Styela clava: one gene and its partner. The protein of the gene in region 1 interacts with the protein of each later gene in a pairwise test. Links are inferred from orthologs where the notes say so. Each region holds a gene or a part of one and is shown in the gene's direction. Other genes may lie near its edges. The genes, in order: inositol polyphosphate 5-phosphatase K-like and ADP-ribosylation factor-like protein 6-interacting protein 1.

Evidence for each region.
Region 2: the proteins of inositol polyphosphate 5-phosphatase K-like (region 1) and ADP-ribosylation factor-like protein 6-interacting protein 1 interact in binary tests that used the Homo sapiens proteins (3 or more experiments, as listed by UniProt). The link is inferred for Styela clava from reciprocal best matches to the Homo sapiens genes INPP5K and ARL6IP1.

What each region holds. Positions count from the first base shown.
Region 1 is NC_135252.1:22,906,028-22,916,667, reverse strand, and holds the start of inositol polyphosphate 5-phosphatase K-like, read left to right. Parts: upstream 1-5,808; 5' UTR 5,809-6,247; coding exon 6,248-6,273; intron 6,274-7,452; coding exon 7,453-7,557; intron 7,558-7,928; coding exon 7,929-8,037; intron 8,038-9,032; coding exon 9,033-9,149; intron 9,150-10,640. UniProt on the Homo sapiens protein: Inositol 5-phosphatase which acts on inositol 1,4,5-trisphosphate, inositol 1,3,4,5-tetrakisphosphate, phosphatidylinositol 4,5-bisphosphate and phosphatidylinositol 3,4,5-trisphosphate.
Region 2 is NC_135263.1:19,671,079-19,681,494, reverse strand, and holds ADP-ribosylation factor-like protein 6-interacting protein 1, read left to right. Parts: upstream 1-6,110; 5' UTR 6,111-6,148; coding exon 6,149-6,196; intron 6,197-6,611; coding exon 6,612-6,748; intron 6,749-7,205; coding exon 7,206-7,325; intron 7,326-8,436; coding exon 8,437-8,639; intron 8,640-9,138; coding exon 9,139-9,239; 3' UTR 9,240-9,900; downstream 9,901-10,416. UniProt on the Homo sapiens protein: Positively regulates SLC1A1/EAAC1-mediated glutamate transport by increasing its affinity for glutamate in a PKC activity-dependent manner.

The sequences.
Region 1 (10,640 bases):
CTGTAATACCATTTTGACGATGCATCCAAGTGTATATACAATATCGTATATGACTTTCTATTATGAATGGTATAATGATAACAGGCACGACTTATTAAGATTTTTATTGATTTTTGAAATAGCTCGAATGCTTTCCTTGTTTTTGATAGTACCAATTGTGAATGATATTTCCATGACAATTTGTCATCGGACAAAACACCCAGGAAACGAATTTGGTTTACTCTTTGAATGCACTTGGACTGCAGAATGAGGTCATCGTTAAGAATGGATAGTTTTTGTCTACTCTAGCTGCATTGAAAATCATGTACTTGGTCTTTTCCGCATTTACTGTTAGTTTGCTAGCAATTAGCCATGACTGAATATTCGTAAGGTCAGCATAAGCTTTTTCAATAATGTCTGGTAAATTTTTACCCTGTAGGAACGGAGTGGTACCATCTGCAAATAGGATAGCATCAACGTCTTCGAGTGATTTAGGGAAGTCATCAATCATAATCAAGAAAAATATAGGCCCCATAAACGATCCTTGAGGGGCCCAATTGTTAAGTCGCAGTATTTACTTAAAGAGTGCCCGTCATAAACTAACACTTGTTTGCGATCGAACAGGTAACTACGGGACCACGAAAAGCAATGACCTCTAACACCTATGTGGTAGAGTTTGGAAAGCAAGATGTTTCAAATTCACCCTTACTTGTAAGTAGGGACGTAGCCTGAGAGGTGGTATGTCCCTTGCGAAAACCAAATTGTTGATGGTAGAAAAAACTCTTTTGTTCTAAAAAGTTAACTAGTCTATTGTACAGGACGTTTTCTGAAATCTTAAAATCGGCGGTAAGCTAATCGGACTATAGTTTTTGACATTTTTCATGTCTCCGCCCTTATGAAGCGGTACTACTTTAGCGATTTTAAATACATCAATAAATTGTCACAATTGCAAGGAAAGATTATAAGTTTCATGGCATTGCTCTGATTTCTGTGGCTGTCACCGGTGACAGAAACATTGAAGAGTTACTAGATTTGTCCATGAAGTTACCGTCATTATCATGAGTAAATTTATCAGCCATTCGCTTCTCTATCGTAGAAAAATGTTCATTGAAACTATCAGCTATCCATACAGGATCACACGTTTCCTTATTTCCTACAACAAATACTTCCGACAGTTTAGATTCAGTGGTTCTATAGAACCGTCTCTCGAAATTTTATGAGATCAGCGAACCGGTTAGCGTGACTGAGTTACTGTCAATGTTCTGTTTGTAACAGAACCGACTGAAAAATAAAACTTTTGTGAAGGAACCGGCTGACAAAAAATTTTAATCTTACCACTGTTTAGATTTGCATCACTCTAGCAAGGTATCCATTGTTTGCCATGATTTTTTCAGATCGTTTTTAGTTTTACTCAAGAGCAATCTGTAGTAAGAATGGTTTTTGGCCAATATCATTTTTCGTACGTTTTCTTGATTTCCTAGAATAGTGCAATTTGTTTATGAGAGTTGATTTGTACAGTTTTTGTTTTTCTTATGAAGTTTTGTTCATTCTTTATCAAACCACTTTTTGTTAGATTTTTTGATCAAAATCTGAGCAAAACAACGATTATAAACTGGCATAACATTGCAAGAATATTTTCTAACGGCATCGTCCGGGTCTGATTCTTCACACACTACAGAGAAATCGATACATTCTAATGACGTACTAAAATTGGTGACCGTACATTTGAACTCACGTACATTTGAACCCATGTGTATATCCGCGGGTTCAATCTATATGCGGGTGCTAAAACCCATGGGTTAGGGTTAGTATGGGTTCGAACGAATATCCGTGAAACAAAAAAAAATTCCATAGGTGCAATAGTATGCAGGTGCAATTGTCATGGGTTCAAATGTAATGGAACCACTAAAATTAGTCATATTGGCCGAATTAAATGATCGAGAAAAACTGTTTTTCTTCGTTTTTAAGTGTTTTTTTTGTCCTATCGGTCACATGGCTATTACAGGTAGTTGATCAGAGATTGCATCGGTTGGAATAGCACTGACAGGTTTTCGATCGTATATGTTTGTCCATATATTATATGATCAAGAATTGTCGCGCTGTTTTCAGTTATTCTGGTCGGTTCGTTTATAGTGGGAGAAAAATAGGTTCATCAACCCAGTCAATTCGTTGACGAAACGGTGCGAGTAGTCCATCAGGTCGTAACTAAGATCACCCATTAGTATACTGTGTCTTGATAGTGAGGACAAAACAGTGTTCATGAGATTAAAAAATCTTTATTTCTCGACTTATCAGACAGTGGGGATAGGTAAACAGTACCACAAGTTACAATTCGGTCTCTGAGATAAACGTCGACAAATAATGATTCGAACGTTTTCTCTTTCATTATGGACAATTCCGGTCTGGTTTTGAAGGTAATACCATCTCTAATATACAAGCCTACTCCACCACACTTAGGGTTTATTCTCGCATTTGAGAAATGAATCTGTAATCACGTAAACTTATATGTGCGCCAACTTGGTCGGGTCTAAGCCAAGTTTCGTTAACCGCAATTTTATCGGGTCGACTAGTCATTGATTCTAACAAAACTTTCAGTTTGGCAAATTTTTTTGGGTTAGAAAGCGAACGCATATTTGCGCACATTGTGAAAAGATAACTGTTTCGCTTTAAGCTTGGACAAATCTCTTCAATATCGTTTGCACTTATATATTGACAATCGCATAGTCCCGAGGCTATTTCATCCTGGTCGTCAATGAGATCAGAGGACAGAGATAGAAAGGTCATTCAAAGATAATGGACCTTTCCCTGAGCATCTTTGTTTACTTCGTGACATTGGCCAATCAGCAAGATGCAAAAAGTGACGTAACAATTCTCCCTTTTTGCATCCGCCCTTATGGCTTGGACATCCCGCTGATTAATTTTATCAGCAAGATGCAAAAAGTGACGTAACAATTCTCCCTATTTGCATCCGCCCTTATGGCGGATTTTTTTTTTCTTTTCATCTTGCTCTCCTCGGCTGCTGCTCTCGCCTGACCTCGCCTTGTCTCCATTATTAAACTCCACACTGACCTCTCCTCAACTGCTCGGCCTTGTCTCCATTTTTACTCCACACTGACCGTTTGGCCATCCCGCTGATCGATTTACTTACTCCTATTTATTTTTCCTGGCTCTCGCCTGAAATCTGCTCGCCTGACCTTTCTCCCCCCCCCCCCCTGAACTGCTCTCGTCTTGATATCTTTCGCCTCGATTTTTTCTTTTGCTGCTGCTCTCGCCTGCCTCTTTCTCCCTCGACCGTCTGCCTTGTTTGATGGTCTACCCCTACAACTCACTCCACCATGTGGGGTTCGAACCACGATCCTAATGTTTGATCATGTCTGAACGCTTCCCCTGAGCTACAGCTGCTGTTGAGAATAGGGTGGATTAAAATCTTACTTGATTAACGACGTCACACTTGACAGCCTGTGACGAGGCTAATCGCCTACAGAATGATGGCGCACAACCTGAAAGTTAATCTGGTACACATACTATGTTAAGGTTGTGCGCCATCTTGGTGCACATATTTCGCGAGCTCCCAATTTACATTTATTCGAATCATGTTCATTCGTACCTCGATTGAAAGCGTTTATCTGAGACTATCGTGTGCGCTGCTTCAACTGTTGAATGCGTGAATATCCCGTTTTAAAACAGTTGTTCATTTTAGTTTAGTTTTTAAGGAAAATGCTAAGATAATTCAAATTAGTGAATGTGCAAACCAAATTTCTGACTGTCAGTGGAGGAATACTAATTTAATCTTTCTGTCTCTTGTGCTAACTAGCCGTCGTATCTCTGGTTTACTTTTCTGAATTTATAAAACATCTCAGATAAAAATTGGCGATGCGTTATGCCCTTTTATAGATTGAAACGATATCGTACACACTAAAAAATGAAAAACACCGTAAATTTTGTCCGAAGAATCCCACGACATGTGAAACATGCTACCCCAGTCATTAAAGATGAAATGTAGCAAATTGCGCGTGTTATGCACCTTTCTATTCATTCTGATACTACGTCGAGGTCACGCGTCATAGTGTAACGGTTAGTAGATGTTTCTACAGTGTATTGAATCAGAAGACTCAGATTCCGGATTTGTGGTTTATTATGGCGACAACTTCGTGTTTAAAACACTTAAAACAGCAAAAAACACAGAATACAGAAAACACGCCCGCCTGCCAGCGCGGCAGCCGGAAAAGAAGAGCGTGAAACTCTTTTTCTAACAACTCGAGGGTGATTGGAGTCTCACAATAACCGGACCCGGATGAAGTATATCCAAATTAAGGGTCCTCGAAAAAGCATATAGGCAAATATAAAAAGACAAACTAAACTAAAACACACGGATAATAAAATCCGTGACAATAGTTCTCATGATTCAGATGAAATTTTTGAAGGCTGTAATCAATGTGAAGGCCGTGGTCAATTAATCTTCCATTGTATTATAAGTGCATTCATTGCGGTCTGTATATTAAAATTTTGGACCTCCTGAAGCATGCGCACCAAGATGTCGCATAACTTGAACCCTAACCTGGTACACAACCTGAGTTCAGGAGGTTTAAAATTTCTGTGGTGCCCCATTTTCCTTTGCTCCCTAAGCACGTGCTTATTTTCCCTAATGGACAAGACAGCACATCTCAATACATATATATATATATGAAATTTATTTGTGAAATTTAGCATCATTTGTGGCTTTTATTTATGGTATATAATATATTATAAAAGGTTTAGCTTTTGAATTGGGTAAAGTAGGTAGCGGTAGTAGGGCTAAAGTGGGGCGCGGCGGTGTGGCTCAACGGGCTAAGCGTTAGGAATACGCTCGCCACCGCACCTCTAACTACTCTGCGTGGGTTCGCAGGTTCGAATCCCATGCAGGAATGGTTATGTGCGAGAGGATTGCTGGATTCCTCGCCGTCGTTGGGTGGTTCACGTAACCGCTGGTCAGTTACGGCTTCCTCCACCACCAAGTCCATGCTCCCGAAAACAAACAATACAGTAAATCTAATCCCATACCCGACTTGGAATGGTAACCGGACGAGAGGCCGTGGTTCGCCATATGGATAAGCCGTCTTATCGGCTTTCCTCTTCCCCGGGATAAATATGTAGATCTTATCCTATCCTATCCTAAAGTAATTTCAACTTACCCATGAACATTAATCGTCAAGTAACAATGTGTTGTTTTATTTTTAAAATTTATTGTGGGCTCCGTGAATAATAATCAACTTCTTCAACGGCTCCGTAACACCAAAAGTTTGAGAAACCCTGGTCTACAGCACCATGGAACACAATAGGGTTCTTTTTCCAATTTCTTGTACTCATTTTGGGATGAACCACTGCATTTCAAATGAATCCAGTGTGAACAGTGGTCGCAAAAAATACTGTAGGCTATTCATTATCTTTTACAATTTTACTACAACCATGGCATGATAGAACATCAGTATTATTTTTTCTGGTCATCAATGCTTTCTAATAGACTATGTAACGGCTGTACTACAATCCAAATTGCCGAAAGATAGTCGTTGGGCTTCAGTCAACAAGATGCGGCGTCGTTCGGGAAGAGATTCGGTGATGGAAAGGCGGGTTCCGCGGAGTCCTTTTGGGGCAGAATAAATTTGGCATTTAACGCTTCGACGTACAAATTTGACAATGATCGGTGATTTCCTTTCGAGTCCTTTGGTAAGACGTGTGTCGTATCGATGTGCCCGAATTGAACAGGATACTTGTGTATCAAACGTGTGTTCAGAGTCCTCGCCACAAACATTGCAAACCTTTGATATGGTTTGGACGTTCCTATGTAAATTTAGTTATTTGGTTTTTATTATGTAATGGTGCAAGTGTTTTTAAAATGTACAAACTCAAACAGAATTTATATTCACACCGAGCTGGTGTGAAGAGTTTTGGAATAAGCTAAATCGGAATATAACGAAAAAATCTGGAGGAAGTCTATCAAGTTGACAGTTGCACGGCTGAATAAGTCTCGTACAGCTGGCTGGCTGGCGAACGCTTTGTTTACATTTTGCGGTTTCGCAATTTCTGCAAGGACTTGGGTTCGACGATTTGTTCTGTTGTTCGCTATTTTCTCTGATTTCAGAATTGATTAAAACAGTTTTTGTTTTAATTGCAACGAAAAAAAGTAAAAACGTCGAGTTTTTGGGTTGCGATTTTGGTTGTGTTGCTGGCTGCCTTCGGTGCTATCCACTGGTCAACAGACAAGGAAGTGGAAGAGAACGTTAATGGAATAATGGCGGATCAGTTTAAGAAATTCAGGTAGGTTTTTTTATATGACTGATTATAAGATCTTACCATGAGTCCCGTACCGTACTTGTCAGAACTGGTGTAGACTATTAACGACATTGATTCATTTATAATGAAGGTGTAGAATGTCAGAATTAGATAGATAGTTTACTTTGAAAACTCCACAATCTGACAATGGTACAAACAAATAAAGAATGGAGAATTCTGGAGTGCGAGCAAAACCTTTAAAAAAGTTTAAAACAAGATTCGTATCATTTGCCCGCTCACCAACAGCATTCACAAATAAAAAACTCAAACTTTGTTAAACAAGGCTTGGGCCAGAAATAAATACAAAAATACACAAAAAATATGTGAATGTAATAAACTTTCTGGCTGTTGTTTACTTTTAAAATACTCAAGCTAAGAATTCTTATATAAATCACAGGAAACTCAGAAACTAGAAAAGGGAAGCCAAAAAATGCTGAAATGGTTAATAACAGAACAGCAAAATATTGGTTCCATTACATTTGAACCTACGTACTATTGCACCTATAGAAAAAAATTTTGTTTTACGAATATTTGAACCCATACTAACCCTAACCCATGGATTTTAGCACCCACATATAGATTGAACCCGCGGATATACACATGGGTTCAAATGGGTTCAACCCAAAATATTATATCATTTAAATTTTAATTACCTATTCCTCGATCTCGGTTAACTCAACTCAAAACTGCTCCTTGTATTTAATTAATTGTCCATTTCGTCATATACAGATATTATTACTATATTAGCCTATATCTTTACATGGCATTGATTATAACACTGCCGGACACAGGCTTGTATAATTTTGTAAGGGGAACATGCGGATATATTAAAAACTGATCTTATCAGAATTATTGCACTGTTGTATTAATTGTTAAACATCAGGTTTACGCATCCCGAAAAATTTTATTTTAATCTATTTCCATTGTGGCTGTGATATGCCATATCATTAAGCTGTCTTATTAGCTTTCCCGTTCTCCCAATATAATAATGAAAATACAAAAATAATAGTCTACTATCTGCAGTAAACTGATAGATGTCTTATGTACTTTCTTTCATGGGAGAAATAAATAAATCCTGCATATTATCTAATTCCCAGCACAGGGAGGCTATCTCTATTCTCTATCATAAAGATAGTTATTTTCACCTTGTTAAATATATTCCAGAATATTCGTCAGCACATGGAACGTAGGGGAAGCTGATCCATTGGATGAGAAAGATATTGAAAAATTATTGAAATCAAATGTTGAAGTTGATTTCTATGCCATCGGGTGAATAGCTGTTATGTTTTTAGTTTCATAACAAGGTTTTCATGTTATTGCAGGAACCTTTTTACTAGCAATACCTGTCTAAAATATAAGGTCCTAGTAGTTTTTTTTAGTTGTGATGTGCTGTTACGACTTTTGCTTTGAATAACTTTCTGTTCAAGCCCTCGGTAAGGTGATGAAGGTGAGTAGGGAGTACCCAGTTGGGGTTTCTGCAGGTTGTGACCCCTGCATTTAAAATGTGAAAAAAGGATTTTTCTATATTAACTTCAGAAGGGAAAAAGCGCCAGGGTGTTCAAAAGTTTGGTTGTGGTAAATTATCTCACATGTTTTAGGGAAATAATAAAAATTTAAAATTATATCAATATTTTTTCCAGGTTTCAAGAAATCAAAACTGGGGCGAAAGAAACTGCGAAAAGTTTCATCAAATACGATGACTGGGCTCAAGCTGTCATGGAATTTCTGTCAAAGAAAAGTTTCTATTTGGTAATATAGATTTTTAAAATTTACCCTAGGGAGAGAAGAGCTGTTAAAAGTGAACAACAAACTAATTCAGACTCTGATGAACCCAAAAGGTCATATCGTTGCAACTCAGTCACACACCAAAGCATCTGTCTATTTATTATTTATAAATGTTTGCATATATTGTGTGTTTTATGGTTTGGCAAATGAAATAAACTCTCTTCCTCTCTCTGAAAAGGAAGGGTTAATTTATGGGGAACCATGGTCCCTGATTCAATTGCCAAACCCATGCATGGTAATCAGTAGATTGATGGCGAGCTCATTCTCCTCCACGGATATCCAAGACAGATAGAAAATTAAATGCATTCAATAGTGGTTATATTTGATATTGTAAATATTTCATTTTAGATATAAGGTAGATTAGAATAATTTATTTTGAAATTTATCATTTTGACAATTTGATATCGGACATCAGAGAAAAGTAAAAGTTAGGCCAACTTCTAACGGTGTTGAATAAAGTTGTAAGTCAAAATAACATCTACCGGTATCTCAATAAACATCAGACAAAAAAAAAGAATTGACTTAACTTCTGACTTTGTAAAATGAAAAATCAATCAAAACAATATTTATCTTAACTACTCAATTATAAAATTTAGATTTAATGATGTTGCAATGATTAATAAAACAAATTTTGTTGTTGAACATTACTCATTATGAAATTAATCATTATTGCATAATCAAGAATATACAGGGCAGTCGCTAGAAATACAGAAAATTAGTCAAACATTTTGTCAGTCCCCAAGGCGGATTTTCACATTTGAAAAGAAATATCATTTTCTTTTTTAAGTCAACTTGTTTCTGCCTTCTTCCTTGATGTTGGTGTCAAAATAAAATAAAATAGAAGTTAAAACAACTTAGAACCTAAAATAAATGAAAACATATCGAAAAATAAATAAGCATGCATTTTATTCGTTATCATATTGAAGTTTTGTGAAACAAGCTTCACTTTTTTTTGACAGATTGAAAGTGTGAGAGTTCAAGGGATTTCACTGAGTGTTTTCGCATCAATCAAGCATCTGCCGTATGTTCAATTTGTTAAGACAGAAATTGAAAGAACAGGAGTTGCTGGTGCATGGGTGAGTCTTTATATATATCAGTTTTGTGTGAATGTGGGTGTGGCATGGGCGTTTCTTTTTTATATACCATTTCCACTCAAACCAGTGTCAACCAGCCACTTTTTCATGGTGATCACTCTTGGGGCAGTGTGTCTCATGTAGCATATCATATTTAAATTATAGTAGTGTAATCACAGATCCCAGGTCTCAACAAGTCTTTGTCCAAAAAGTGTTTAATCAAAAATATGATTAATTGGGTGGGCGATGCTGAACAGGAAAGGTCCATTTACTTTTATAATAGGCTATGTATCTTTTTACATTTTCTATATACTTTTACAGTACTTTTAACATTTTGAAGATTGGAAAAAAGTTCTATATTCTTTAATTCTTTTGTTGAAATAAAATTCTCACAAATAGTGAAATACATCAACAATCATGTTTTTACTTCTTTGCATTCAATATACGTCTGATTGTTTCGTCATTATCACAGTTTACGCACTTGTATATTCGTCACAATTCAATTATACGGCTATCTTAATCATTCGTACAGGTACCAGTATCCGTCCTTGTGGGCGCTCCTCTTTCCCAGCCCGCAAAATATCTTTTAGTTTCTAATTTGGGCCTCTGGTGGCCCAGTCACTCAACTTTAGGAAGCTCTGTTTTAGAAGGAGGAACTCTCAGACAAATAGTTCAAGCACCATTAATAATGCAGTTAAAAGCAAGCATGTCTTCATTGCCAAGAGATTAGAATGGTGATGAAGAATAATTTTGCCAGTTTTAAAATGAATTTTTCATTAAGTAACTCTCAAAGCAAGGTCATTAATATTCATTTTAAAGAGTGTTGGGTTTATTTTATAGTTTCTGACAAGTTACAAGATTCGGGACATAATTTTAGTTCTATTACATTTTCGGGGGCTGTGTGTGTTAGCCAATTAAATATATTGGTATACACACTTTTGAGTACTTCGGAAGTATGTGCACTAAAATGGCGCACAATTGGAACCCTAACCTCATACACAAACTATGTTCACGTTGTGCGCTATCTTGGTGCACATACTTTGGGAGCACCCACTTCTGATGCACCCATGATATAGTACCTAGTCTCTAACGAGTTGGAAGATTCTACTATTTACAAAATTTCCTCTACACTCTGTTGGGTAGTCTGTTACGCAGCTTCTTTACAGATCACCAACTTTGTATAAATCCAATGTTTACAAATGAAGCATAGCACATTTAACCTAATGTAAGTCTGTTAACACATTACACAACCAAATACTTCAATGAGTTGAATAGAAAATAACACAAACATGTTTCTGACAAAATGGGAGAAATGGCATAACCCAATACGCTCTAATATATCTATTGGTCTGCAAATTAGTTTGTAGTGAGTGTAGTGAGGGGTGGATTTTGTCATTAAATGCCTCATATGGGGCATTTAAATAAAGTACAATTGACCCGGTACAAGAAGTATTGGGCCTAACTGACATTGCAGCCTCGCGAGTTGAAGATCTT
Region 2 (10,416 bases), on another chromosome or scaffold:
GGAATTCTTAAAATAAAATCTGAGTTAACAGACAGATGCGCAGTATTACATAAATACCTATTTTATGAAAAACTCAAAACCGCCAAAAATGACTTACGCGATTTTCGTTCACTAGGTGGCATATGACTGGCTGAGCTATGACTTCGACTCCTCATGCTCATACTAAAGTGACTATAAACTACTACCTTATCGTTAACTTGTTTTGTGTTCTTTCCATTGTGGATGTATTATTTTTTCGTTTTTCTTATTTTTTTCTATTCAAATGTTCATTTTTCGGGAATGGGATCTAATCAAATTTGGATGGGGAGGTAATTAAATTCGATCGATTGGCAAAAAATAACTTGTTTGAAAATAATGATTGGCCTATAAATACAAATATAACGTTATAGTCTACCTACTCCACAAATATTTATTTATGGAAATTTATTCACTACAGTGGTGCTGTAGTGACTGCCGACCTGTAGGTACACTATTTTGTTGTGGGTTGGCCTAGGCTGCCGCTACCTAGAGTTTGGTCCCTACGTTTTTAACTTTTTCCTGAACAGAATTCTCGTCGTCCAGGTATTTCTGCATTTTCTTGTTGTTTTGTTTCCTTGGCAGCCCCTGTACCGGTATCAGGAACAATGTACTTGTTTCAGTATTTAACTATTAACTTACTGGACTGAGTTTTGGTTTTGCCACATGATTAAGGGGTTGCAGTTCCTACCACTTTATGGCAGCTCCTGCCACGAACAAAGGCGTCTCTTGCCATGGTTTTATGGTGCTATTCAGTAATCAGTACAGTAGTAATACCGGTATATTTACAAATTCATGTACCAGATTTTAGTTTATTATGCAGAATTATATCTACCCAAACCTGAAACGTACGTTAACCCCAAAACTGTATCCATATGATAGAGATACTGATAAGTGATAACCAAAAAAATAGAACTGTTTCAAATTTAATAGAATTCAACATAGGGCAACAATCAACTGTATATTATGGTTTGTCTGTAAATAATAGTGTCAAACATAGTTTACAACCTCATAAGATTTATAAACTCATTATAGAATTTATGAAAATGCATAAAATTACTTTACTAGAAGCTAGGCAAGAATATCATAGAGTATTGTATAACAAAATAATCAACTCACTAAAGAGTGAAAGAATGGTATTTCTTTGCAGAAGTAATATTGAAAAACCATGTTCAAATACTCACAATGACATTTTAGCAAATTATGTGAAAAGTTTCAATTATAAATTAATGTGGAATATTTTGCCACTCAAATGTGTATCTAGAATTAGATTTATTGCTTGAAATGACTTGTGTGTTATGTGTGATATAGAAACAGAATTAGTATCACATTTGTTTATGAATTGTCCGTTTGTAAAACAAGTATATGATTATGTTTTTTTGATTATAATGAAAATAACTGGCAGAAACAATTCAATTGATTATGAAACTTGTGTATTATTAGATTTGAGTAACCATTATTATGAACATTTATCAATTGTAGAAAAAAATGCTATTATTTTGTTATTGTCTATTACTAGGTATAAGATTTGGTTGCATCGAAATGCAGTAATTTTTCAAAATGTTATGCCAAGTGGTAATAGTGTAATAAACAAAGTTAAAAATGCTTTAAAATGTAGAAATAAAGTAGAGAAACTTAAAAACTCACCCAATTTCACAAGAGAGCTAACATTATTATGTAACTGTGTATGAAGAGTATTATCTACAAAGTATATATACAAATGTCTATATAAGTGTATTTAATTAGTAGATAAATAACAATTGGAAAAACTTGTTTTTACATGATTTTACAAAAAAACTCTATCCATAAGAAAGATATTCCAACTTACCCAATATTTGTCATCATCAGGGGCAGCCTTGCCATTACAGCTGACATGCCTTGGTTACGGCGGCAAAATTTTATCCGCCGTTGATTTTCAATTTGCTGCCGTGGTACCGGCATCTTACCATTGGTTTGTGGCAGCTAAAAAGTCAGTTGCCGCAATTTGGCCCTAGCGGCCATTGTTTCAGAAGTCCCGCCATGGTTTTGCGGCAGCTTCAGACTCCACAAAATACCTAAAACTGCACTTGTAATTAGGTTGTCTATATTCGGTTTTACTGAATTATTATGAAAAATCTTGCTCTTGTGTCCCATTGAAATGGGGTAATTCATATGTTCAAAATAAAAAAAAATTACACAGATTTTCTGCTAACTTACTGGGTTTCATTGAATCCTTTATATCAATTTTTACGAAAAATTTGCCCAGTACTGCAGTACCAGTGATATCTCCTGTGCCTCAAAGTCAAATTGCCTCGCATCTCTTGGTTTAGGGACTTCTACCCTGCCCAACAGCATCAGACCATATGTAGTGATACCTCGAGAGTCGAATAACTCAATACTGGAACAATTCGGTGGTCGACCAAAACATTAGTAGTGCCAGTGGACTACCGACAATGCGATTAATGCAAAAGCGTCTCCGCCACAGCAATTTGAATGATGTCATAAAACTCATAACACACAAAAAAACGAATTTCATAGAGCAGTGCTTCCCAAACTGTGGGTAGCGACCCCGCCTAATTTCTGTCAAAAATGTGCACACAAGTGAATATAGGATTTGGAATGGTCGGCAGGTACCGTGAAAGTATCTAACTTCGGATTTTTCATGCGGTACCTAACCTTTTCAGATGGTCGGCAGGTACCATATTAGTGAATGTAATTGAATGACAGTGTTACGACAACTTACGAGCGCTAATAATATTCTCCTTTTTGATCATGTTACATCCGAATGAGTAGTGGACCCTCTGGTTCGCGAATCAGATTTTTTGCCAGACTGCAAGAAATTATGTTGGTTTCGAATATACGAAGCAAAGTTGCTTTCTTAGGTGTTTGACAAGTATGGTATTGATTGCCAGGCGGGTAATTACATTTCAGGTTTTGATCAGTTGCGAAAGCGCTTTGTTAATTCGCGCATGTGTCTAAAATCGACCAGTGGGCTACGTGTTTTGTCCACATCGCCTTCACATAAAAGTGAACATTTTGTATTGCAATATTACATATTTAGACGTTTAATACGTAATTTCAAAGCGTTCCGAGAACTCAAAAACCACAAGTTCTAGCATAATAAAAGGCACTCAAAAGATTTGATTCCTTACACGTTTTTTCCTATTTTACTTTCATGCTCTGTTTTATTTTTAAAATAATAATGGAGCAATCTGTAATATGTTTATATAGAACAAGACACTTTTGAAATATACTAAATAAGATTCTAAATTCATGTATATTTAGAAGCAATCATACTATTTCCTACTAAGTATCATACGCTTCTTTACAATCTACGACATTTTATCAAGTTTGTCAATGTTTCGCCAAAGAACCGTTATAATTATGATCTGAGAGATTTTTACATCATAGTTTTCATACGATTTCATGTGGTATCAAATCTTTTGGGGTTTTCTAGCGCGTTACCGGACTCGTTCATATATATTTTTAGCTAATATTTATCGTAAACATCCACTTGCAGTCGATATACAGGTACATTGTTCCCATTGAGGTCATTTTGAAGTTGCTCAACGTTTCAAGTTGTGGGGTCGCGAGTATCTGTAGGCTTTGGTTTTTCATGAAAATTGGGGTCGCGAAAAAAAAAGGTTTGTGAACCACTGCCATAGCTCAAAAAAATTTGTTTTAACCTACAGTAAAATAGTTTATATCTCAATTATATACATATTTAAATAATTGTTGTTGTTCAGGTACACATTTTGATTATAATTGAATGCATAAGAACGAATAAAATAATTACCTTTGTTTCATTATGGCAAAAAAGGTTTCGATACTCGAACAAATCAGTAGTCTAACATCAGTCCTGAACAGATTATGTTAACTACCATCACTGTATTGCACTTGTTATTGTTTTTCATTCACATTGGTTTGCCGCAAAAGCTTTGCATAGTATGTAAGCTGGCTTATTGCCAACCTCTGAGCAGGGATGGCCAATTCGAATAAAGTATTCGAATGTATTCGAATATCTCGTCATTCGAATATCGGAATTCACGTTCATAAGAATATCGGATATTTGTGTGACGTCACACATTTTCGACGCCGCTTTCAAGATGTTTCCGTTGAATGAAAACATTCTCGATAGAAAACTTGCGCGTGATTGTTTTCATCACTCATCAGCGTAACGTGTTATTTAGGCCCGTAAACGCCTTTACGATTGTGTTATTTTCTCTAATTTGTTCCACGATAACGATAACATTTATTTTATTTTTGTATTATACGCACGGAATTGTGAATCTGGTAAATACGTTCATCGGCGGCGAGTTTCTAAAGACAACGCAACTTTTTGATTGAAAAGCGGCAATTTAAAATACTGAAAATAAAACCGTAAACAACATAAGTTTTATTGAGGCCCGCGAAAATTTAAAAAACGCTTTTCTAGGCAGTGAAAATCGCAAAATTTCGTGTGCCTCTGGCACACATTATGTTTGGTCGGCGTTTAGAAACATATCGTCACTAATTGAGGGCGGGATTTGCCTGATTATCCATTTAAATTGTCGTCGAATATTTTCGTGTTAACACGATACAAGGTTTGAAACGCGACTTTTTCCCTGGTTGTGAGGATGTATATAATATAATTAATCTAAAGTATATTCAATCAATTTTATTGTGATGAAATAAATTTTACTCTGAGATATTTTACTCTGAGCATTTCGATCGAGCGGAGTCACTGTTAACAAGTACATCTGAATATTTGCCGAATTCGCAAAATACGGATAAAAACAATACTTAATCGGACAGTTTACCTCACGTTTTTATTTTTATGGCCGTGGTTTGCAACGGTATATAAGAGTGGTGAGGATTTTATTTTGTCGACGCAACCGCAGGATAAATTGAAGACAATTAAATTAATAAGAGCAAGACATTTTAAATATGCCGTGTCGGTCACGAATTCATCACTTTGCACAACAGAAAAATATATATTCGTTGTTATATTATTTGTTGTAAACGTCGACTCTTTTAACAGGTGGCATAATCGCGGCGACGGTATATTGTATGTATATTCATTGTATGAAATGAATTACTCTCTACACTTAACATGATTTTATATAAATATTTGAGATTTTTCTAACGGCGATAACGAGTTGGCAAGATTGCAAAAATACATATTAGAATTAAATACATCAGGCAGTTTATCTCGTACTTTTCGGTCACAGATTGCGGTGGACCGAATAGTAATGTTTTTTTTTTGACGTAAGAAGAAGCAACCGCGAGTTATGTTGGACACATTAAATTAATATATAAAGATATTTTAGAATCTCGTAGTTGTCATGGATTGAATATTTTACGTAACAGAATGATCAGTATACGCTGACAAGTCGGCTCTTTTAACGAGTGCGAGATCGCGGTGGGTGTTACAGGCGGCAATGGGAATTTCCGATTTCAAAAATCCTGGCTGCGCGCTGGCAGTGCTGGTCATCTATTCTCTACTAATTTATTTGTAACTCCAAACACAACAATATGTTACACATAATAACAATATGGTTCACATAAATTTATATACAAATATACTGGTAGGTAGTAGAATACTCAAGGCTTAAATATTAGAATTTTTAAAGGCATGATGGATTTTCGATTGTTGTTGCCTGTATTGCCAATAAATTTAAAAACTCTCAGAAAATATACACAATTATCTGAATACAAGTAGTATTTTTTGTCAATAGACTCGACTATTATCGTAATATCTTGATACCAATGATAGAAAGCGTCAGACAACTCCTTGGCTATCTTTTCATATGGTCATTTGTACAAAGTGAATAATTTTAATAAACTGACTGTCACAAGTTGCTATTATTTTTTATTAATAGCTATAAACTATCAATTACTTTGTGTACATATACTGTTGGTCTGTGGCTTCATTCTGATATTTCTATTGATGCTTATTTCCTAATTTACTGGGTTTTAATCAACTAAAACAAAAATGTGTTATTTTCGATTTTAGAATGTATTCGGAATTCCAGATTCGAAAACATTATTTTAGAATGTATTCGGAATAGTTTAGTATTCGGAAATGGCCATCCCTGCCTCTGAGGCAATATTTTGATTGTTTTTTGCATTATTGCAGTGATTAAATTACATAATTGCTTAGCTTGCATCAAATATGGAAAATCCTGTTGAATCTGGAGATTTTTTGCCACCAATTATGCAGGTACATGCAATTCTTTTCTGTTCACATATTTATAAAGATATTTGAATGCCATTTCAAACTCGGATATTACTGTTAAGTAATTTTGTTATTCCACTCAAGCCAAGTTCTATAATTAGCACGGCAGTATGGTTTGGCTGCTGGTATTTATTTAACCATCCTAACAAACCTTTTTTTTGCCTGATTAAAGGTATATCTATGTAAATGTCTATTCGGTCCAAGAATGTTGTTCGTGCACTTGAGATGTGTTTTTGACATGGCCACATTTTCTACACCCTTTACCACCATTTCAGTAGTTAACGGGATTTTTAATTAAAACGGTATCAAGTATTTTATGTTTAGCATTTTATTCAACAAAACTGTTGAAAAGTGTTTTCAAACATGCCATTGACACATTAAACTTTTGGTTGATGTTTAGGGATCAAGCAGTGGGGGAACTTTGAAGGGGAGTTTGAAAGGATGGAGAGAAGTAATTGTTGTTCTTGCTAAACTTCTGAAGTGGCAACAAGCATACTACGCAGCTATTGTTTTTGCGATTGTCTCATTATTTTTTTCGTAAGTTGAACCTGTTTTCAAAATGTATCATTGTCAAGAGAATTTGTTTATAGTTAACATCATAGTAAAAAGTATGTATAAGTTTTGGTCTTACCCAAATAACTCATGAACAGTTTCGGACGATCAGTAACTGTATTTTGACACCAATAAATTTGGGTTGAGTCTATTGCACAACTGGAACACAAGTGAAAAGCAATTGATAGACTTTATTATTATATGTATAAATAATTTCCATTTGCAAAGAAATAACATAAATATTGTTACAGTCAAATTAGAATTTACTTTGTTCTAAATAATCTGTTTCGTTTGAATCCGTCTGGTTTCTTTTAACTCTTGGTTCAATAAAATTGATTGGACTCCAGCTCTGAAGTCAGACTCAAAAGTAAAACCAAATTTTGATTAAAGCTTTTAGTTCCATCGATACAGAGTAAAATTTTCAATTTTCTATTCTATTTAGGTTAATTTGGTGGTTGGACCCATCTGTGGTTACTGGATTCTCAATGTTGATCATGATTGCATGTATCGCTGACTATGTTGTGCCACTCGCAATGCCTATGATTTTTCCAGAAACAAGCTGGTATGTTGCGTCTGTTTTGTTATTTTCAGTTTCGTACATTAGCGCACTGCTCTCTATGTTATTGGATCTGTGAGTTTTTTTTCATCCAGATTTATTATCTGGACAAAATTTAACACCCTTTGTTGGTGATCGAACACTTTTGTGTCGTTAATGTATTTCTCTGCATTTTTATGAATGTTTGATCAGATCACAGTAAAAGCGATACCTGCATTAACCACTGTCAACAAATGACCTCTCTCAGACAGTTAAGATGTCTGTTCATCGAGTGCACGCATTGTGAACAATCAATACTGTGTTGTCGCATATTATATATTATTATGCAATTAATTTTGTATTTGCATTTTGGAAGGTCAATTCTTTGCCATAAAGTAACTTTCACTTATGTATGATGTTCTTACCTTTATGATTAGGCGATTTTAGTGATCTGGACTGAATAAAACACTGGTTAATGTCTAGAGTTTTCATTTTTTAACAAGCTTGGGCCATCCATAAAATGCTGCCATTGCATAATACAGCTAAAATTTATATGTTGCATCACCATTTCCTTCCTGTGCACTCACGTCATGACTTTATTGTGTGTGACTGTCTATGCAATGAAGCGTTTCGCATGCAAAATTCCCAAAACAGCTAGTCTGTAGATTGCAACAAAAAAGCTAATGGTGCTAAATAATTTAAATTTTTGTCTGTAATATATTCCATTCAGAACTCCTGGCTATTACAGAATTTCTATTAATTGATAGATCAAGCTTTGTTTCATTATTATTCAGGCATGCTCACAGAATATTTCTATTTACCGTATGTTATTTATGTATATTATGGTTTTTTGAAAATTTAGGTGTTATTTTGTCGGAAATTGTTTATAGACTACTATATAAATTGATGTAAAATACATTTAGTCAAAATAATTTCAGTAGAAAATTTCAAAAGTAATATAAGACTTAAACATATACACACATAATCCACAGGCAAAGCTCACTAATATAGATTCGTGAAAAGGTTATGACATTGATATATTTTATATAATTTTTATATGCTGAATAGATTTCCAAATATATATGTGAATTTGAGTTCTAATATTTTCAATAAAACTTTATATCATGATACATTGCAGGAGTAGCGATAAAGAGAAACAATACGTACAAGCCTGTGATGGACTGGTACAGTCAAAGAAGATTATTTCCAGTTTGTTCTCCAATGCCGGAAAACTGAAGGATAAGAATCCATGGTTGTACATGGCTGCGATCACCGTATCACTCAGTACATTAGCATGGCTTGGAAATCAAATGCATAACCTGCTGCTTGCCTATTTCTTCGGTAAGAATTGCCATTTTCTAACTCTCAACTTATCACGGAAACAAAGTTGCTGCAAGACATTGGAGTTCCCTAATAATGGTATTTTAAAATTATATTTGCCACCAATCAGGTATACTGACTGAAGTCCATATAATAAAAAAGCAGTTCAAAGATAGAAACCCTGAATCATTAAGGTCATTAAAATGACCTGACACAAAAATTAGGGTCCTCTCATAGTATATACCAGGTTAGGGTTAGGCCATAATTTTATCCCGATTTTCCTAAAGCTTTTCGGTTGAACTGAGAATATTTTAGTTCTATAACGAGTTCTGGGACTGTCTGTGTTAATCAAGTGCCCCCTGCCCATAGGTTTCAGTCCCTTCATCCAACTTGATGTAAAGTAGGCAACAAAATTGGTTACCTCCATATTGGTACATACACTTCTGGAGCACCATTTTTTGCTATGTTCTATATTCTCGATTAAATAGGTATTTTATGTCCAAATTATGTGTATTTACAGTTTTGATTGTATCTGCTTTGCCTGGCCTCAGTGAGCATGGAATTCTGGACAAGATTGCAACACATGTGAAAAAAGTTATCAACAAGCAAAAGTCTCAGTAATCATAATCTGTTTGTTCATTTGACTATTTAATGTCCCGTGTAATCGTATTCATAATTTTAGGAATATAAGCATTTTCTTGTAATGTCCAATTATTATTTTCGGAACCTGAAATCGAAAAGCAATCTTTAAGCATACAGCATTTGTGGACTTGTTGATAGTCAACTTATAATTGTCATGTCAATCTATTTTGTCAAATTATACTTCATTGGCATAAAGCCGTTTAATAGGTAGTATTAATTATATGTAGTGCTGTATTACGCTTTGAAGTTTGAAATTTTCTTGCACATATCAGATGAAATAGCTGCGAATTTTCTAGACATGAGTGGAATATGGAGTGTGATGTTTAATCTGGTCCTGTTATTTTTTGAAATAGAAGGGTCTGCTAAGCAACTTGCTATTACATTCCTCACGAGATTATTTTAATTCTTTTTTTGCTGCATGGTTTCTTCATATGATCCATAAAGCATCCAGTCTACTCACATTATGATGTAGAAACTGTTTGTAGGATTTTGTATACATTATTGTGATATTTTGTTTCTCATGATTTTTTGTTATATAGGGTATTATTAGATGTATGTGTGCATGTGTGATTTCGTTGTTTTTCGACTGTACTGCCAACATATTTTAAGTTGTGAATAAACACATTGTGGTCACCAGCTATTGAAGTCGCCTTTGAAAGAATGGAGTTGTGATCAAAGTTTTCCCGTTTCACTTTGTGAAGACTTACTTTAATTGGGCCATTTATTCACTACTCGACATTCCTATCACCTGGGTAAAATTTTAGCGCATTTGAAAGTGGAGAAATTTGTTAATAAGATTGAAAAAATAAAAAAAATAATCCCTGTGAAGCGACGAAAGAACTGCAAATAAAAATTGAACCGTATAGGCAAGCCTTATAAAACTAATAATAACTTTGTCATTCATGGTGGTCTATAGCCGAGCGTGAATTTGTTGTGAGATGGAAAATACAAACGTATTTGGATCCACAGGGCTCCAATTATCTTGGGGTGGTCAACCAGGTTAGTAGTTCAATTAAAAACTCTTACGCAAGCACACATACGTAATAATTCAATTCGTTTATTACACCAGACCCTTATGGTCCATACCAAATAACACAGATCCAAAAATAGCGCAGTAAATCTAGATATCACAGTAAAAAACCATAATAACAGCTAA